Yarrowia lipolytica: one gene and its partner. The main gene of each other region encodes a partner of the protein of the gene in region 2 in a complex. Links are inferred from orthologs where the notes say so. Each region holds a gene or a part of one and is shown on either strand. Other genes may lie near its edges. The genes, in order: YALI1_F29937g and YALI1_B14238g.

Evidence for each region.
Region 1: the proteins of YALI1_B14238g (region 2) and YALI1_F29937g are in contact, whole or in part, in a crystal structure (PDB 5ERG), measured with the Saccharomyces cerevisiae proteins. The link is inferred for Yarrowia lipolytica from reciprocal best matches to the Saccharomyces cerevisiae genes GCD10 and GCD14. Residues at the interface, in NP_014337.3 of Saccharomyces cerevisiae: Met1, Leu4, Thr5, Phe9, Arg16, Asn44, Asp45, Ile46, Ile47, Gly48, Tyr49, Pro50, Phe51, Gly52, Leu53, Leu85, Glu194, Tyr195, Ser197, Ser198, Ser199, Gln219, Glu220, Gly223, Met224, Leu226, Asn227, Leu228, Asn230, Ile231; in NP_012410.1 of Saccharomyces cerevisiae: Phe6, Ser7, Gly8, Tyr9, Lys10, Asp11, Trp22, Arg25, Pro55, Tyr56, Gly57, Ser58, Gln59, Ala61, His74, Leu76, Gln77, Thr79, Pro80, Glu81, Leu82, Leu85, Thr96, Pro97, Ser100, Tyr101, Met103, Gln104, Arg105, Asn107.

What each region holds. Positions count from the first base shown.
Region 1 is NC_090775.1:2,989,008-2,998,819, forward strand, and holds YALI1_F29937g (uncharacterized protein), read right to left. Parts: upstream 4,733-9,812; coding exon 3,563-4,732; downstream 1-3,562. Other genes in the region: YALI1_F29905g (uncharacterized protein), read right to left, coding at 465-1,547; YALI1_F29911g (uncharacterized protein), read left to right, coding at 2,192-3,373; YALI1_F29944g (uncharacterized protein), read left to right, coding at 5,452-7,434; YALI1_F29987g (uncharacterized protein), read left to right, coding at 9,775-9,812. UniProt on the Saccharomyces cerevisiae protein: Catalytic subunit of tRNA (adenine-N(1)-)-methyltransferase, which catalyzes the formation of N(1)-methyladenine at position 58 (m1A58) in initiator methionyl-tRNA.
Region 2 is NC_090771.1:1,422,531-1,432,556, forward strand, and holds YALI1_B14238g (uncharacterized protein), read left to right. Parts: upstream 1-1,270; coding exon 1,271-2,746; downstream 2,747-10,026. Other genes in the region: YALI1_B14236g (uncharacterized protein), read right to left, coding at 1-1,094; YALI1_B14268g (uncharacterized protein), read right to left, coding at 2,799-4,301; YALI1_B14292g (uncharacterized protein), read right to left, coding at 4,817-6,751; YALI1_B14308g (uncharacterized protein), read left to right, coding at 8,318-9,253; YALI1_B14325g (uncharacterized protein), read left to right, coding at 9,996-10,026. UniProt on the Saccharomyces cerevisiae protein: Substrate-binding subunit of tRNA (adenine-N(1)-)-methyltransferase, which catalyzes the formation of N(1)-methyladenine at position 58 (m1A58) in initiator methionyl-tRNA.

The DNA of each region.
Region 1 (9,812 bases), on a different chromosome or scaffold from region 2:
TAGCTGGGATTTTTCCGCAGATTATATAACTACTGTATGTACTGTATGTAAGTACTGTCCTTGTATTGTGTTCAACCATGCATTAACACGTTCCATGCCGACAACGTGGATGTCTGACAGATCTCTCAATGGGCTGTCTGAATGAACTGGAAATAGGGACTCGATACTGAGCAAGTGAAACCTCAGTTTGGCGTCCCAACGACCCCAACAAATTCCGTGGCTGCTGGGGGCCGTATTTAGTTTGCCATGGTATGATATTCAAAGACAAGAACGCGTGCTTCAAAACCACAGGGTACAAGTACATGAACTTGTAGCTACACTCTTACTATGAGAACTCTCGTTCTTCAAGTTCCGTAGATTTGTTCTAGAAATCAATATTGTATAAAGTCAGAATAATATGTTTATATGTGACTGCAAGGCAAATGCAGCGTCTAGTCAATAGATATGGAGCGCCAATGGCTAGTTTAGGCCTTCTTTGCCTTCTTGTCGTCGTCGCCGAAGTGTTCCTTGCTGACGGGATCAACGTCGATGATGTGGTCAGTGACGTCCTCCATCTCCGTGTTCTTGGGGGCAGGGGCGCTTAGAATAACAACGTCACTGGACTCGGGGAAGAGAGTCTTAGCGGGTCGAACCTCGAGTCGGTAGTGGAACTCGTTGTCAGCTTCAGTGTAGTGGGAGGCAAAGGGATCGAAGGATGCATCGTGGGTCAGAACAACATCAACAACACCAATAACCTGCTGCTTGGGCTTGCCCTCAATGGACTTATCGAGCAGCAGCTCCTCGAAGGCAATCATCTCCTCTCGGCCGGGCAGGTTGTCAAAGGGGTTCTCAGTATCAATCTTAGTCTGTCGGGGATAGAGCATGGAAGACTGGGAGATTCGTCCAGTAGGATCAAGGGTCAGAGACTGGCCGTTTCGAGACATGGCAAAGGGGTCTACCTTAAGGATAGAATTGATATCTCGCTCATCATCGTTGATAGCCTGGTGAATTCGGTTCACGCACACTCGGTTGAGTTTCTGCAGATCAAGGGGACCCTTGGTCTTGTAGACGAGAGACTGCTGGGCCATGCCGACCCATCGCTGGTTCATGACACCAATCTGAGAAGATGCGATTCGAGAACGGAACCACAGCATGAGCAGAAGGAAGGGAGGTACAATGATGAACAGAATGGGCATGGTAATGAACAGGGCACAGTTGAAGAAGAAGAGAGCGAGGCCGAAGAACTTGATCCAGGGAGGAGTCACGTTCCAGGCAATGGAGAAGGGTCCATGCTGAGAGTACTTCTGTTTCAGGTTGGGGTTTTCCTTGTTGTTCATCTTCACCTGTCTGGCGGTTCGTCCGGACGAGAACTGTCGGGAGAACTTGTTGAGCTGGGCCATGACATTGACCTTCTTGTTGGCGACACGGGAGGTGGTCTGTCGAGAGAAAGCTCGGGCAGTCTGAGAGACGGTGCTAGGAGCAGCAGTCTGGAACGAGGAGAATGCAGCAATTGAGCGGGGCTTAGCGACGCCCAATGGGGTCACTCGCAGTGAACGGAGCAGAAGCATTGTGTTGTGTGAGGGGTGGTTAATGTCTCGTTTCTGGGAGGTGGATCAAAGCTTTAAATATAAGAGCCGAGAGAGCAGATTGCTAAGGCGTGGGGAGAGAATTAGAATTTTGGGTTCGGATTTGGGCGGTTTCTAAAGAGGCTAGTTAATGCATTTTGTAGGTATCCTAATGAGACACAGAAAAGTCTCACCTTCATTGCTAGTCAGTGGGGAACCGCACGTTGGTTTTTTTTCTCTCTTGCTCCTACATTGCGTGCAGTAGAAGAGGTCTCGTTTACAACCGCCTCGCCTTAAAAGTGTTCATAAACTCCCAAGACGAGAAACTTCCAACTGTGCAGCTATCATGTTTGGCAAGCGATGAGCGAGAGGAAGGATTGAGACCCTGTGTGGCGTTTGTGGCGGTGTAGTTATTGGGGGGATATAAGTGAGTTGCAGTGAGCAGTTTGTGGCAAAGAGTGATTTTGCGAGAATCGTTCCAGAAGAAACAACATAACACACGATTTAGATTTTGATTTTTCCTGCTTGTTGCAATGTTTTCTCTCCACCCTCTTAGTGCTGCCTTTAGTTAACCTCGTCTGCAGCCCTTAGCCGGATCAAATTTAGATCGTCTCTTCACACACCTCCTCCTACGTGTATCACACATTATGGCGCCGCAAGGACGGAAGGGACAGGCTTCCGGGCAGAAGTCAGATGGTGCGAAAAGAACTCGAGCCACTAGAAGGAGTGTGGATCGAAATAATCACGTCGATCTGAAGAATGGTCAGATTACACCCAAGATCGAGGATGAGGTCGACAAGGGTGAAAAATCCGAAGAACAGTCACAAGACGAGAACGGCAACGAACCTGCCACCAATGAAAGTATCCCAGAGGATGATTCGGAACCTGACTCCGAGGAAATCCCTTCTGGTGAGTCATCTCCAGATAATAGTGCTGACGAGTACATGGAGGATAGTGAACCAGAGAAGAGTAACGAGGATATTTCTGAGCCAGCAACTAAGAAAAGCAAGTACTTTGCCGATTCTGATGATGAAGAAGAGACTGATATACCCACTTCCCATATACCTTACTCCAACATGGCTCTACACCCTAACTCGCTGTCCTTCATTCAAGTCCTAGAAAAGAACAATAATCGAGAGTGGTTCAAATCACATGATGCCGAGTTCAAAAAGGCCAAACAAAACTGGGACACTTTTATCCTTTCCTTGGCAGCTTTGTGCCACAAGAACCACCCCGAACATGTGCCTGCTGAGATTCCTCTCATCAAGCTGCAGTTTCGAATCCATAGAGACATGCGATTCTCAAACGGACTGCCCTACAAGCCTCGTTGGATGGGTGGATTCAGTCCTACCGGATGCAAAGGTATATTCCCAAAATACTTCCTTGTCGTCTGGCCCTCTCATGTGGTCGTGGGGGCTGGATACAGCGCCATGGGAGATGCTGATGTCGGTCCTAAGACGTTGAAAGGACTCAAGGATGAAATTCAGGAAACTGAGGGCGAATGTATTGCTAAGATCCTTCGAAAGGTGCAAAAGAAGTCTGCTGGTCTGGTATTCAAAAGCAGATTCGATGATGCAGAAGGTCTCATGAAGGAGTTTCTGGAAATGAATGTGACTGAGAACATGTACAAATACGTTCCCAAGGGCTATGACGCTGAGTCTCCCGCTGCTGGATTACTTAAGTTGAGATCTTTCGTGATTAAAATCCAGCTGGAGACTACAGTGGTGATGGAAAAAGACGGCGCCCAGATCATGGCCAGCTACTTCAAGTTCCTGATCCCGTGGGTCAAATTTCTTAGCAAGTACTTTCCTCCAGGCCGGGGTGGCTAACTGTATATATGTGATGGAATAGATTTCGTTTTGAATGATTCTACATGTGCGATAGCACAGGTTTGTCTTTCAAATTGTGACTTCCTGACAGGACCAGATGCATTTTGGCTACAATGTGAACATGTATGTACTTATTCTAATAATATTAACCGTCCTATGTATCCTAACTATCCTCATTCGCCCGATCTCCTATGCTTCAGTCCTGGCAGGGGCCTCAGTGGCCTCAGTGGAAGCCTCAGCACCCTCAGTGGAAGCCTCAGGGCATCGCTCGCTGTATGGTCGAACACACATGTCCTTGTCGAATACCTCTTCGCCCAGCTTTGGCAACCTGCTGGCGAACAGCAGGTACGAAGTATGCGACTTGATCTCCTGCTCACACTTGGACACCTCGGTCCATTCAAAGCTCTCATCTCCCTCCTTGATCTTCTGGCCCTTACCCCAGGGGTTGTATCCTCTGTGACCCGACTCGGTCTTGGACCGCTTGGCATCTCGCTCATCCGACTCTTCCTCCTCCACTCCAGTTTCAGTTTCGACCTTGATTCGAGCATTTCTCTTAGCCAGACCGGTCTCTCGTCGGGCTTTGACGTCTCTAAGGCGAGTGATAGCCTCGTCCAGAGACCGCTTCATCTCCAGTCGTGACTCCCATCGCTTAGCAGCAACCTCTACCATCTCAATATCGACCCAGCCGGCTTCTTGCAGAGCCTGGACTGCCTTGACAACCTGCTCGAAGCAAGGCGAGAAACAGCACACTCGAGAGACAACTGATCGGTCAATAACTCGCTCGAGATGGGGAATAGCGGTCCAAGGGGCAGGAAGGTCGAGGAAAACGGCAGTGGCATTGACGTCGATGTTCTCAATGTCAAAGCCGTCGTTGCACACATCCCGATGCGTGGGGATCACGTTGGTCAGCTGATGACGCTCAAACTCCTGCTTGGCCAGATTGTATCGCTCCTCATGAAACTCGTACGAGTAAACCTTGCCGGCGAGGCCTGCAGATCGACTGATAGCGTGTGTGAAGGAACCAGAACCAGTGCCAGACTCAATCACAGTCGATCCAGGTCGAATCTTGAGACGCTGAACAATGTACGATGAGTCGGTGGTGTACACAATCTGGGTACGGTGGGGCAACGAGAGAGTCCATAGCTCGGGAGTAGGGTGAATCAGATGAATGAAGCCCTGCTTCGACATGCTTCCAAGCTGAGCTCCATACTTGTCCATGTTGCGGTGAGGGAAGGCTCCGTATCGGGTGTTGAAGAGCCCTTCCTTCTTTTCAACCACAATGGGCTTGATGGCGGTACGGGTCATCCACCCGAGTACCAGATCTCCATCCTCGATCGTGTCCTTGTATGCCGAAAACATTGTGTGTGATTGTGGAAAAGTTCAAAATATTTTTTGGAATTTTCACTTTTAGAGTTAACCTGCATGGCAAAGGTGAATTGATGAGTGACGATTGAAGCGATAGAATCATGCAAAAACTGAAGAAAAGGATCGATATTGGGATGGGAAGGAATTATTGATACTTTCAGAGTACTTAGGAAAAAGTTTCAGCTATACGTGAGTGACTTTATAGTACATCCACTGTGTTATTGCGTCTTATCAACTGTTCCACCTCACAGCATCAGGACAACTCGTACAAACCTCCCAACTCAAACTGTTGATAATGTACAGTAGCTCTGAGTCGAAGGAGGTTCTGTCTCTACAGAGTGATTAAGTGGGATTGCCAGATATTCGCTACCCATGGGGTATCAAATTGTAGCTAATGAATGGATGAAGTTATTCTAACGCCATTCACCACCACCAGGAACCATCAGCGAACGACAGACGCACATAAAGATTTTTAACGGGGCAGCAGATAAATAAGGACACAGATTTAGGAATCTATAGAATATTCTCTAACAACTCCAAATTGTCAACAAATTCTCTCACATTCCGGGCACAGTGCCAGCTACTTGAACCACCTACTGTACCACCTCTCAATCGCAGTTTCGAGGTTCACAAAAATCTATTAGAGTTCATGCACAAGAAATTATTTTATTTGCATCTTGCAAATCACACACACCAACACACCATCACACGACATGCCTCCTCTAACCGAACCGTTTGTCCTGTGCGACCTGCCCCAAAGCTCGCTGACCGTGGCCGACAAGGTGGCTGTGCCCGGCCGAAGCGCAGGATCCCAGTATCTGCTGGGAATTAGCCACTCCCAGGCTGCTCTCTACGAACTCACCCCAAGCCCTCGATCTGTGTGGACTCACTTCCTGTCCTTGACCCAGGCCGTGTGCGCCATCACCCAGTATGCTCCTAGCACGAAGACTGGTGTTGTCTACGTCTCGATCCGGGACCGGAAAAAGTTTTTTGTCGAGCGTGTCGAGCAATGCGTTGACTCCGAGGACGGAAACAAGAGCGCTCTGACTCTGTCAGAGGCTGCGGTGGCTGTTGGGACCAGCTCCGATGATTCTAGAATTTACCTGGTGACCGAGTCTGGCCACGTTAAGGTCGCTCCAGTGTCTCTGTTTGGTCAGGCTGGCTCCGGAGACAAGATCCCCACCCTGTTTGATGCTGGAGCCAAGCAGATCACTGAGTACTCTCTGTTCATGCCCGATAGCCGTACTGACGAGTTCAGTGACGGTCTTGTTGTGCTTGTTCTCGGCTCCCGAGACTCGTACCGAGCCGTTCTGCTGGGTCTCAAGTCGTCTGGATGCGTCGTTCTTGCTGACAAGGTTCTCAAGGATATCGCTACCGACTCTAAGCCTGCGTTCTCTGCCGTCGACAATGTCCTATCGTGCTTCTCAAACACCACTCTCTACAGCTTTGCCCTCCCCTCTCTCAAGGTGACCACCCAGATTGAGCGACCTGAGGGTGTGTCTGGTAATTCTTCAATTCTGGCAATTGACTCTCGAACTACACTGCTGTCTTCCAACGACAAGCTCACACTCGTCGATACATACTACGAGTCTATTGTAACCGAGGTTGATGCGTCCCAGCTCTCTCTGCTGTCCTTCTATCCCGATACCCAGACTGTTCTTGGTGTGCAGCCCCAGAAGGGTGGCTTCTGTGTCTCCGGTGTCACTGTCGATCTCTCTTCAGGCTCTTCTCTGCTCGACTCTGTTGCTCGAGGACAGGGTTTGCAGACTTCTGCCACCCGAGAACAGCAGCGACAGCACGACTGGAGAATGTCCAACATCCACATGGCCAAGACTTACCGATTAGAGAGTGACTTTGCCAACCTATCTGGCTATGATGTGGTGGTCAAGGCTGCTAAGAAGTCTCAGAAGCAATCTCAGGCTCTGATGGAGACCCTTAAGGCCTCGCAAGGTGCTGCATTCGATTCTGCTCTGCTCAAATACATGAAGCACAAGAAGTGGCTCAAGCAAAATCCCGACCTGGCTTTCACCGTGTACGAGGAGCGAGATGATGCCCAAATTGATAACTTCCTGATGGACCAGATTTGTTCCCTGTTGTTCGACAACTATGAGGACTCTGAGCCTGTTCTTAAGGCCGATCCTCCCGTCAAGGCTCTCACCTACCTTCTCACACACTCTCTTTTCCCCACGAACCGATTCCCCAACCTGTTGGACACATTTGAGTCTCACCCTTTCCTGCAGCGTCAGGCTCTGGTGAACGCCCCTGCCCTCCCTTGCTCCACCCTGGTCAAGGCTCTGGCCTCTTCTGTGTCTGACGAGATTGTCAACGATGCCGTCGTTCGACTGCTGGAGGAGTTCCGACCCACCGAGGTTACCAAGACCATCCGAAAGGAGATCTCCAACCTCAACGGTCTGGTGGAGCGACTGCAGAAGATGGACGCTGGCTGGGCTCTGATTCCCTGTGTGATTGATGCTGGAGGACTGCTAGGATGGAACCTAGAGACCATTCAGGAGCTAAAGAAGTCGCTCAAGAGCGAGCTACAGACCCAGACCGAGTCTGCCCAAACCGTTGCTATGGTGGACGCCCTCAAACTTCGAATGATGGCTCAGGAGCGAGTGGCAATGCGAGAGCAGTACATTGAGAAGGGAGATGACAAGTTGGATGCTAGTTACGTGGTGGAGAAGTTGCATATTTGAAGGACTATACATACAGACCTATGACATTAGAGGATGTTTGATGAGAGTATCTGTGGGTTTGTGCTGCAGTGCTCAGGCTAGTTAGAGGTATAGAATGAAAACTATTATATTTGATTGATCGTTGAAGTTATGGTAGACATACTGTCGCTACATGATAATTAATACGATTCCAGTAGACGGTATTGCAAGTACTTGTTCGATACTGCCTATTGTACATACTGGTGTGTATGCAGTACATACTGCACTTTTACAATGGGATATATTTCAGTATATACTGTACAGCAGAAATCTGGAGCCCCTGACAGTTACCAAAAGTTATTAATGACCTCACGTAGCCCGTTATTTGTCCATGAATAAATTAAAATAAATACATTCGCGCTCTGAGCATGTCCAGACACACCCGATCAGCGAAACTGCTTTTTATACTGAATGAAAATCTCCTGTGTTAGCCATTTCCTCTTATAAGTAAACATCCCATGCTAAAAAATAAAAATAAAAATCATTTATCTTGTACTCACGGCCAAAGCAGCAGGCTCCACCGATCCGTCCTTGCACATTTCGTAGCATATTCGGAGACCCTCGTCATCCAGCGGCACATCCAGCAGCCGCGCCATTTCCTTGAGAACCTCCAGAATCTTCTGTTCCTTCTCCATTACCAGATGCAGAGGTGCCAGTCGACGATGAGGTCGATGAATATACGGAACGCGTCGTGATATAAGTTGGTGTTTAAGGTTCTTCAGCAGAGAAATGGCGACATAAGGTTGGTGAAGCAAAGCGTTAAACGCAATGGAAGTAAGGAACAGAGATGGGTAAACAATAACAACTTGTTTTGATCGTCGAGTGGAGATTTTGGAAATGTACGAGAAGCCATAAAGATGATGTGACACCAATGATGTGATTATGGAATCAGCGAACTAATTATGGCATTTGTGTACTCGTACCGTACTTGTACGATGATAAAGTTCAGGCCAGGCCCCTGGTAAGATATCGTGGTTTGGGGGCCATCTGACTGACTAGAGATTGTTAACGCCGATAGGTTGTATGCGTTACAAACCTCATACAGTAACTGTCTTGTGAGCTCGTCGGTGGAAATATGAAACACCCACTACAAGTAACAGTAATTCTGAACTAGGCTAATAGTGGGGAGCGTAGCTCGGTCGTTCACCGTAACCATGGCAACCGCTGTTTGGGTGTCTGACTTGACACAAGACAGATGAGAAACTCCAGCCACATGTATCAAAAAAACACCGTAGAAGTACCGCTACCCGTGTATCCGGGTTGACCTAAAACTCCCGAAGTTACTTGCGGTTTGTTTGGCGGGGTCGTCGGGTTGCTCTGGATTACCAGCAGTATGCATGAGACTGATGTTGAGTGGTGTATCGTACGAGTACATACTCATGGTACAGCACCGATACTACTTGTAGTACAAGTACAATGTACCAATTGTTTACTTGTAGCGGTATACGAGTATGTACTTGTAAAAGTGAACCCCTTCGCCATTCCACGACGTTTCTGTGTCATGTGTTCCATTCGCACAAGTACCACTACAAGTACAGTATGTACAGTATGTAGGTGCTTGTAATATGTAGCGTTCCATTCTGACTGTGTAATGTCTGCCTGTATCAAACGAGTTGAAACAACAAACTGATCTGGACTCCATGAAATATGCACCTAAATTGCACTGAATTTTCTTGTAATATATCGTATGTACTGTAGGTCAGTCTAGATCTTGTATGGAACCTCACCTCACGAACTCGCTTTATTTGGTGCAGTTTCGCCAGGTTGAAATGGGATATCAATGGCGGTATATGAGAGGTAAAGGTACAGTAAGAGTAGCATCATAATTTATTTATGAATCTCTACTTTATTTGCCCCCATCATTCCATTTTACACTGTTGTACAAGTGCTACAAGTATAGCACCAATCGTTTCTACTCTACTCTACCACCGTGACCCATCTCGTCCGCTAATCAAATGTCCCAAAATGCGCTTACTGCACGAAATGCAGTCTAGAGCCGATAAGGACCCGGGTATGGGGTAGGTCTGAGGAGCTCTTCACCACAAGCTTGTTGAAAGGAGAAGTGATGTTCCGAGATAACGCTTCGCGTGTCTCTCTGCTGTTAAAAAATGTCACTGTTGAAAATACCGCCATTTACACCAGACAATAACATCCGACTCCTCTCAACTAGACCCTTCCAGAAGCCTAAAGTTGCTCCCAGGCTGGTCCCTCGGTCAGAACCTAAACCCCATTTAACCAATTTTTAGCTTCTATGAATCAATATTTCACTGATAAATTTGAATCACCGACTAACACTAACCTCAACATACACACATCACCACAATGACTTCTATCAACCTTGGCCACCCCGTCGACATGCA
Region 2 (10,026 bases):
TTGGAAACATCGTTGGCGAAAACCATACCTGTGTTCTTCATCAGAGCAGAGATGTAGGTGGTCTTTCCTCCGGGAGAAGCTGCCATGTCGAGCACTCGCTCGCCCTCCTGGGGGTCCATTGCCATGACGGGCAGGAAAGAAGAGGCAGCCTGCAAAATGTAGTGACCACACAGGTACTCAGGGGTTGCTCCAATGGGCACGGCAGAGTCGAAAATCTGCAGTCCAACCTTGGTCCACTTTCCAATGGGCTGCAGGTTGACACCTCGGTTGACCAAAGACTGGGCAAGGTCTCGTCGTCGAGTCTTGAGGGTGTTTGCTCGAATGGTGACGGGTCGGGGCACCTCGTTGGCCTCAAAGAACTCGATAGCCTCAGAAGGAGTGAACAGATTGAACAGCTTCTCGGCAAGGTACTCGTTGTAGCCGTAGTAGGAGCAGATATCCTTGAGCAGCTGTGTGGTGTAGTCGTTTCGGGACTTGCCCTCCTCGGCCAGACCCTTGAAGTCCTCCAGAACCTTGACGATTTCCAGAATTCGGGTTCGAACAACATGCAGATCCGGAGGCAGTTGGGCCTCGGCGGCAGCAGCCTCTGCGGTAGGCAGAATCTGTGCTCGGGGGTTCTGGTGCTGCTTCATGAGCTCCATCAGCTCTTCCTCCGCCATCTCTTCGTCGGACTCTTCCTCGTCGTCTAGCCGTCGAGACATAGCCTCCATGTTGGCGGCGTTGAGCTCGTCCTCATCACCCTCGTCATCAGAGAACATAGGCTTGTGGTGGGTCTCGTCATCAGAGTCGTACACCTCATCATCAGAGCCATCCTCAATATCAAACTCATCGTTGTCCATCTCCTCATCATCAGAGTCATCGAACAGAGTCATCTTCTCCCGGACAACATCGTCATCCTCCTCCTCGGGGAGCTCCTCTTCAGCCTCCTCAACAGGCAGCTGAGGGATCTCCTTCACCTTTTTAGTCTTTCGATCGGGCTTAGTTACCTTGAAATCCTTCTTGTTTTTCTTGTCTTTTCGCACGGGAGCGGGTCCCTGGGTCTGCTCCTCCAGAGTAGGTGGAACTCCCTGCTTGTTCTTGGCTCGTCGACCCATTGTGTAGTGTAGTGTGTAGTGAGTAGTGAGCTAGATGGGCTCTGATTTCTGGGTGCATGTAGTCCTAAAAAAATTCAAACTCTACTCCCAAATTTTTCGACTAAAAAAGCTAATCCTGCAGCACATCTAACGGGCCAATATCACACCTTCCTACATTTACTGAAAATACGCCTACCATGGACGTTGAAATGAAAGACGCGGCTCAGCAGCAGGAGCCCGTTTCTGCGAGACAGACACAGGTGCACCGAAAGAGCTCCAAGCCCGAGTCGCCACCCTTCATCTTCGACAACCCTCGAATTCAGCCCAACACTTACTGCATGGTCAAGTTGCCGTCGGAAAACTTCCGAGTGGTCAAGCTGATTCCCAACCAGACCATTTCTATTGGCAAATTCGGCTCGTTTCAGGTCAACGACATCCTAGGACTGCCCTACGGTTACACGTTTGAAATCCAGGAAGACAAACGACTGCGGATCATCCAGGAGGGAGTGGACGACCATGACTACGTAGTGGGAGCCAAGGGAGCGCTGCTGGAACCCGAGGAGACCAACCAGACGCTTATTGACACTTCTGAGTCACAGACTCTGTCAATGGCCGAGATTGAGGAGATGAAGAAACAGAAAACGCTGTCAGGAAAGGACATCATCGACCATGTTATCAAGGGCCACAACGAGTTCCACAAGAAGACCGCCTTCTCCAAGGAGAAATATTTGCGAAGAAAAGAGCAAAAGTACCTGCGACGGTTCACTCCCCAGCCTATGTGTTCGTCCCTGCTGCTCGATTTCTACCTCGAGAAGGATTACAAGAAGGTGCTGGACATGAGCCAAGAGATGCTGGCCCTTCTGCTGAGTATGGCTAATGTTCGACCTGGAGGCAAGTATTTGGTTGTTGATGAGACTACTGGTGTTCTTACCGCGGCGCTTATGGAGCGAATGGCTGGAGAGGGCCTTATTGTCGTTGCCCACGAGAACGAGCACCCCAACCTCGACGCTCTCAAGTACCTGTCCATGCCCACAGAGCTCCAGGATCGAATGATCAAAAGCATAAACTGGCTGCAATTCTTTGAGCCCGAGGGCGAGGAGGAGGTGCCTGAGAAGACCCCCGAACAGATTGCGTCCATGAAGCCTCGAAACCGAGGAGCATATTTCCGAAAGCGAAACCGGTGGCTGGAGCTTCAGAATGTCAACGATCTGGTGGCCAACCAGGGCTTCGACGGCCTCATTGTGGCTTCTACTTTGCATCCCGCCTCTATTGTGGACCGAACATTGCACGCAATCGGAGGCTCTCGACCTGTGGTTGTCTACTCCGAGTACAAGGAGGTGGTCACCGAGGTGTCACAGCTCATGCTCAAGGACCTGCGGGTTCTTGCTCCCTCTATCTGGGAATCTCGAGTTCGAAAGTACCAGACAATTCTCGGCCGAATGCATCCCAGCATGACCTCGAGAGGCGGAGGAGGATACCTTGTGCATGGAACCCGAGTTTTCCCTAACGAGGAGGTCAATGCCACCCAGGTGCGAAACAGAAAGAGAAAGCGAGAGGATGGCGATAAAACTAAGTCTTCGGAAACTGAGGGCAAGTCGGAGGAGTCCGTGGAACCTGATACCGAGCAATCGGCCGAGCCTGAAGCCAAACTAGAGACTGATGCTGACGCCTAATTATTTAGACGGCCATAGCTTTATATTAATGTATTATAAACTTGAAGTACGATCATCTTTTGGCCCGCTTGTGGGACTCCAGAGGGAAGGGGTCATCCTTGTTCCAAGAGAATTTCGAACCTGGATGGTGGGACCTCAGATGTGAATCACCAGGAGTAGCATACATGTTCTCTCTGAGGGAACCACCGGGGACGGCGTAGTCGTTCCAGAAACGTCCTCGCTTCTGTAATTCGGGAATAAGCAAGTCCACAATATCAATGTAAGTGCCAGGGACAATAGCAGACTGCATGTTGAAGCCGTCGATGTCTCCAACTTCAATCCACTCTTCCATACGGTCAGCAACAGTGGTAGGGGATCCAATGACAATGTCGGATCGTCCACCAAGTGCCAGTTCCTCAGCAACACGAGCCTTGTTCCACAGGGCATCGGGAGTTTTACTGGAATCGGCCCATTGAGAGATAGCTTTGCTGATGGCGACATTGTCCACCTTCCTGAGATCCTCGTCGTCGTCGTAGATTCCAAGATCCATTCCGAACCACCCTCCAAATAAAACAAGAGCTCCCTCACGATCGATGTAAGAGAAGTACTCGTCATACTTGGCCTTGGCTTCCTCGTCAGTCTCTGCTACGCACACAAACATGGAGGGAATGAACTTCAACGATTGGGGATCGCGGCCGTAGTTAGCAGCAGTTTTTCTAATGTCATCAACAGAAGATCTGACGTACTCGGGTGAAGGAGCCTGCAAGAAGATGGCCTCGGCATGCTTGGCTGCAAAGTCCCGTCCAGCTTTGGACATACCTGCCTGGTACAGGAATGGTGTTCTCTGGACTGATGGTGAGCAGATATGAGGTCCAGGAACATTGAAGTATTTTTCATTATGGTCAATGTATCGGACAAGAGTAGGCTCGGCAAAGGTGTTGGATTCAATGTCAGCCTTGATGGCATCTTCCCTCCAGGAGGACTCCCACAGCTTGTAGCAGACGTCCATGAATTCATTGGCAATGGCATATCGTTCATCATGAGGAGTTTGAAGATCATTACCATGATTCTTTGCTCCACTCTCCAGGAAAGAAGTGACAATGTTCCACCCAACTCGTCCTTTTGATATATGGTCAACAGTGGAGTACCTTCGGGCCAGAGCAAATGGAACATCATAAGTAGTGGAGGCGGTAATAGCAAACCCCAGAGACTTGGTGACCATTGTCAACGCAGGCACGAGGTAAAGGGGATCGTTGATGGGATATTGGGTGCCAGCTTTGATTCCAGGGTCCTTACTTCCCTTGTAGACGTCATAGACGCCTCCAATGTCGACGATGAACAGGGCATGGAACTTACCTCTTTCAAGGACCTGTGCAAGCTCGACCCAGTACTCAATGTCATTGAAATTCTTGCCCTTGTGTCCAGGGTGTCTCCATAGTCCCTGATTCACATTAGTAGGCGCGTTGGCGGTCAGTGCGTTCAAGATGAGCTTCTTCTTCATCTTAGGATGCTCTGGTACTCGTTCGGGAATGGGAACTTTCCCATTCTCAACGCCTTTCCAGGTAGCGATATCCATTTCCAATGACTTTCGGATGTGCCTGTTGTTGATTTGTTGAGAGGTGGTGACTCAAGCAGGAGAGTCATGCGAGTCATTTTCGGTTATTTGAGTCATTTGGACATTGAGTTGTGCATGTCAGAAGTGGACTGCTTGAGACATGGGCGCAGGAGTGTTTTTTTATTGTGTCTTCATTCTTGTAAATGGAGCAGTACGGTACGAGCAGTTATATAATGGTTGTCTTGATAATGTTTTGTTTTGTTTGCCTTCTTTCAAGGTGAAAAAGTACGGTACTACTGAACGATATCTTATCTTTACACTACTACTTCTTGATACACTATGCGGAAGGAGGAAATGACGTATGCAAGACATTCATTCCCTCCTTCCACTATGTACTCCTCCCGAAACTAATTGAGCAGCTTGGTTCCAAGAGACACTCACAACTACAAGTACAACGATACCCATATTTGTGATGGACAACACCATCACAGCACGAATACATTAATCTCACATATATTGTTTATAAACAGTTAGAGCTACGATAAAGCAACGAGAGCCAGAATTCCAGCAAGTAGTGCGCCGACCGAGATGACCAACTTTGAGCCTGAGTTGGCCTGGGCAACTGGCTTGGGCTCAGCAGATCCTCCGTTTGAAGGCTTATCAGCAGCGCCGGTGTTGGTGGGCTTGTTGGATGAGTCGTTTGATGATCCGGGCTTGTTTGGAGAGCTATCGTTATCAGACTTCTTAGGGGTTTCAGACTTCTTAGGGGTTTCAGAGTTGTCAGTCTTGTCAGTTTTCTTGGTCTTGTCAGTTTTCTCAGTCTTGTCAGTTTTCTCAGTCTTGTCAGTTTTCTCAGTCTTGTCAGTCATATCAGAAGAACCAGACTCATGGGTCTTATCGGCCTTCTCAGCCTCTTCTGTCTCCTCTGTCTTCCCGGTTTTGTCTGTCTTCTCAGTCTTCGTTGTCTTGTCAGATTCGCCCGCCTTGTCAGACTTGTCCGCCTTGTCAGATTTGTCCGCCTTGTCAGGCTTGGAAGACTTCTCGTCCTGTGAAGCGTCAGTGGTCTCACGAGCACAAGGAACGGTGATTTCCACGGTCTTCCCCTCGCACTTAGGACAAACAGTCTTGATAACAGTGGAAGGGGCGTTCTTGGGAACAACTGTAACGATTGTCAGAGTGGGTGTTATGCACCGTCCCTCGGTGTCACATTGAGTCACGGTCAATGTGAGGCTAGAGTTAACAAGAGCGGTAGCAGGACTCTCTACACTGCTGTTGGTATTATTAGTCACTGTGGGAGTAGGCGGCTCAGAGGACCCAAAAACAGTGCCGTTCGTAACACCAGCAGCACTAGAGATGGACGCTGAAGAAGGTGCAGAGGTGGGAGCGACAGTCTCCGGAGTACCGGAAGAGGAGACACCAGAGGTCTGAGGGCTAGTATCGTCAGTGTTAGCGCTTGCAGAGACAGGTGTGTCAGAAGATACAGAAGCCTCCCCGGAAGCCAGACCAGAGGCACTAGACAGGGGGGACTCGGCAGTAATAGGTTCTTCGGAGGCAAGTCCAGATGCAACGGGATCTTCAGACTTGACAGTAGTAACGGGCTTAGACGACCCAATGGGAGTAATGGGCTCTTCGGGGGCAAGTCCCGATGCAACGTTGTCTTCAGACTTGGTAGTCGTAATGGGTGTAGGGGACTCGACAGGAGTAACATCCTTAGAGGACACCACGGGGGCATTAGACTCGCTGGTCGACGCGGGCACAACGGGCTCACTGGTCGAAACTGGGACTTCAGACTCGATGGTCGGAGTAGAAACAACAAGTTCGCTGCTCGGAGTAGAAACAGCAGGCTCGCTGCTCGAAGTAGAAACAGCAGGCTCGCTGGTTGAAGCAGGAACAACAGGATCCTCGGTCTTGTATGGGTCGCAAACAGATCCATCAGTAAGCTGGAGCGTACAGATCAAACCAGTGACAGCAAAGAGTCCATCATCAATGGCCTTGGATGCGGCGGGGTTGGTTGAGATAGAAAGCACCGCAGCCTTCAGGATGTTCCAACCGTCGGCCGACTTCGCTAGCGTAATACTGGCCTGGTTTACTGCTTCGTGGTAATCGTAATGCGGCAGATACTCTGAGAGAAGTGAAGTAGCAGAGGTGAAGTCGGGGCTTTGCTCATATTTTTCGAGGGCAGCAATAACACTGCTGATCCAGTCAGGGAACTTCTGTTCAAATGTGGGAGAAAGAAGAATATCAACGGCATTGTCGAACAGAGGAAGCAGGTCATCATTCATGATGAGAGGAACAAATTCATTAATTTCCGAGCTTGCCTGTGCCTCGGGGATATCTTGGTGTCGACCATTAATCACACCCGAAATAATGGCATCCTTGATGGGATTGATCAGGGCACCCCATCTGAGGACGTAGGCAGTTGCCAGGGTAGAGGAGGCGACCGAGAAAATGGCAATTGATGATAGCTTCATTGTTGAACGAGCGTGGCAGTCTGCCTCCCTTCCGGGCACACTCGATACTCTTATATATTACCGTATGATGTAAACCGTGTGATGTAAACATTGACATTCATTATGATCTAGTGGCTAGCTAGTGGCTGGTCACAGAAATGTAGGAGCGGCATGTTGCAGATAAAGAACGAGTACCCCTAATGATGTATCGCTTTTTAAAAGTCGCTACTGGCGGTGAGGGTTCGCAAAAGATAATGAAGTTGTGAAAGCCTTCTCTACGCTTAATCTACAAGGCTTTGTAAATCATGGGGCCAACTTGGTTCACGGCGACATTTGAATAACAACCGATCACTCTCTTTAACAGTCTGGAGCCGTTCGGACAGATTTATTGGAGTATGAGTGAGTCCAAACATACCCCACAGCCTTTTTTAGTGCCTCCAGAAAAGCTTTGTCCTCCCTTGTACGTAGATGGTGCAAAGAGGACTCTGTTATTTACGTACTGTCGGCTACTATCACCGACTCGAGGAGGCCTAAGCTTCCGACGAAAATGGCCACTACGGAGGTCAAGATATCGAATAACAACCAGGCCGTCCATAGGTTGAAAGGAAACATCTTTAGATAAATATTCCCCGGTGATCTGGTGAAGAGAATCCTCATGTTGTATGTGTGCATCCACATTACATACCAGTACAAGTAATAGATATAAAAGAGCATTCTTTATCAACAGCTATTGCAATAACAAGTCGCCCCGCTCTTCCCATTGAAAATACAATGGTGGGCAGACAAAGGCTTTCCGGTGGTGCGATTTCTCAATATACTGTACTGTAACATATACGGGACCTGATGGTTCACTCATGTATCCATCTATCTACTGTAATCTTTGTAGAAGGTGTTTAGATCCTAGGTCCACAATATGCCGATTGTGGGCGCAGTAAAGAACTGGGCTATCGGACTGTACTTGTGGAACCCATCTTTCAGTACTGTAGCTATAATAGTGCCTCTCCTTCAAGAATTAATAGATGCTGAGAGACAAACAGTGGATACTCGGGAATGTAGCTACCTCGTTGAGCTAGGCTACTTGTAGTCAGGGAATGTTGGCCCTATGCTTTGTTGAGCCAACGAGTGTTTTACTGTGCTGAAAAGCAGCTAAAAATCGAACTACGACAATACAATGGCCGAGGTCTGCTTTCGGGGTCCGATACGCGAAATAAATGCGTTAGAGCGCGTACAGCGCGAGGGGCACATAAGCGAGATGGAGTCTTGCGTCATGGTACCCTACAAGTAGGCACGTTGTCTTTGTCTGCATTTTGGTTCTCAACACACCAGAGCGCGCGTGACGATAGCCCCGCGTTTTTTCTTGTCATAGGATACGGTGACACAACATAACGATATATTGTATCTGTAAACACAGCACAAGTAAACAGTGGAATGGTGAACATAAGTCGATTTTTCGACAAATACTACAGTATGTACTTGTACGTTGCGTCCCAAACTTCAGATAGGTTGAAACCTTATTCCTGATCACATCACTTGATAAGTACTTGTAAACATACGGTTCCCATATTGGTGTCACAATTGAGACCGCACATGAACAGCAAAGTGTCGACAATACTGCCGCCCGAGATCCTTCTGATTGTTCTTGAACACGTACCCCTGAAAGATGTTGCGAATTTCGCCGCCGTTTGCCACACATTTCGTCGAGTGGCAGACTCCTATCTAAATACCTCCGATGCCCTCTCCTTATACCCATGGCTCACAGTTCCAACGAACAGCACATTACTTTCGCTAGTGAGGTATATTACCGACCCGGAGTTACCCCGCCAGCGCAAAAGGTTGAAAGCAGCCGAGCTCCTCGCAGATCAGCTTAGACAGGACATGAGGAGTGATACCAATATCCATGGCCATGACGTCACCAGAGTGGGCGATTATGAGGTTCATAAGTTTGAGGACGAGTCCTTCAAATTACCGCTACTGGTGGATGGGTTCCTTCACATCTACTGGCCTGGAGAAGTGTGTAAGACCAAGGATGGCTCTTGGGTAGTTCAAATACATATAAAGAAAGTGCAGTGGGATGGGCTCATCCCTGCAAGCACCCTTAACTTGAACACGAACAACAAGAGAGTCATCAGAGGCGAATCAATACTTATTCACACTCGAACTGCCACCCAAATACCATGTGGTACGATCTTCTGCTATGAGACCCTCATGCAATGCAGCACAGAAAGCGAGCACATCGTTTTCTTTGTCACGGACCTAGGCGGGCCAGAAGATCGCGTGAATGAACTGTTCTACGGGGATTTCCAAACACGCAAGATTGTCAAACTATGTCAGACAAAGAGCCACGCCATCCATTGTCCTAGTCGTCGTGGGGGACGTCGTTTCTTGCTTAGAAACCGGCACATCTGGATGCTAGCTTGCGATCCAGGGGGAGAGCTCCGAGTTTCGCAACTAGACCTTTTCAAGACGGAGAGCTGGATTTTTACTGAAGGCCGGATCGGTATGGGATACCCCTTCTCCCCGTGAGCGCGATGGAGGTTTCCACCACATCTGTCATTCATACCTCAGGTAACAACATGTCACAAATTACAATAACGGACTTCTCCCTCCCGGGCTCCGCTAATTGGACTCACACTACAAGTACAGTACTATCTCTTCATGAAAGACGTCCGCTGATTAGACATGCACAAGTGTCGTCGGGAGGCCTAACGCTAACACCATGTGAATCCCGACCATAATGGTGAAAGGGGTTCCACTTGTGGCTCCGCAGTATGTAAATAACGGGATCTACAAATAATTAATTGTATGATGTCGAAGAAAAACACCAGTCGGCTTCTTGCTTGTTCAATATGATGCCCGTAAACTATGAGAACTTGTAGTCTGATAGCCTTGACACCAGCCTGATGAGATATCTTCGTATTTTCATCGGAACAGCAGCATGGTCACAGGTTGTCTACAACTACAAGTAGATAGACATTTAATAAAAAAAAAAAAAAGTATTACTGCTGTAACGAGGGAGTATTCGTCATTTGAATGTCAGGCTAATACAGAAACCGAAAAATTTTGAGCTGTAGGGGAATTGAACCCCTGGCACCTGCTTACAACTGAATGGAAGGCAGATATGTTACCACTACACCAACAGCCCTGCTCACGCTTACTCAAAAAACTAAACTTTCAATTTGTCCAATAGTGACCAAAGTCACGTGATGCAAAAAATAATGCAAAAATCTATCATCTTGGGAATTTTGGACTGACATTCTGGGTGAGTATGGGAGGAAAAAGGAAAGAAAAAGATACTA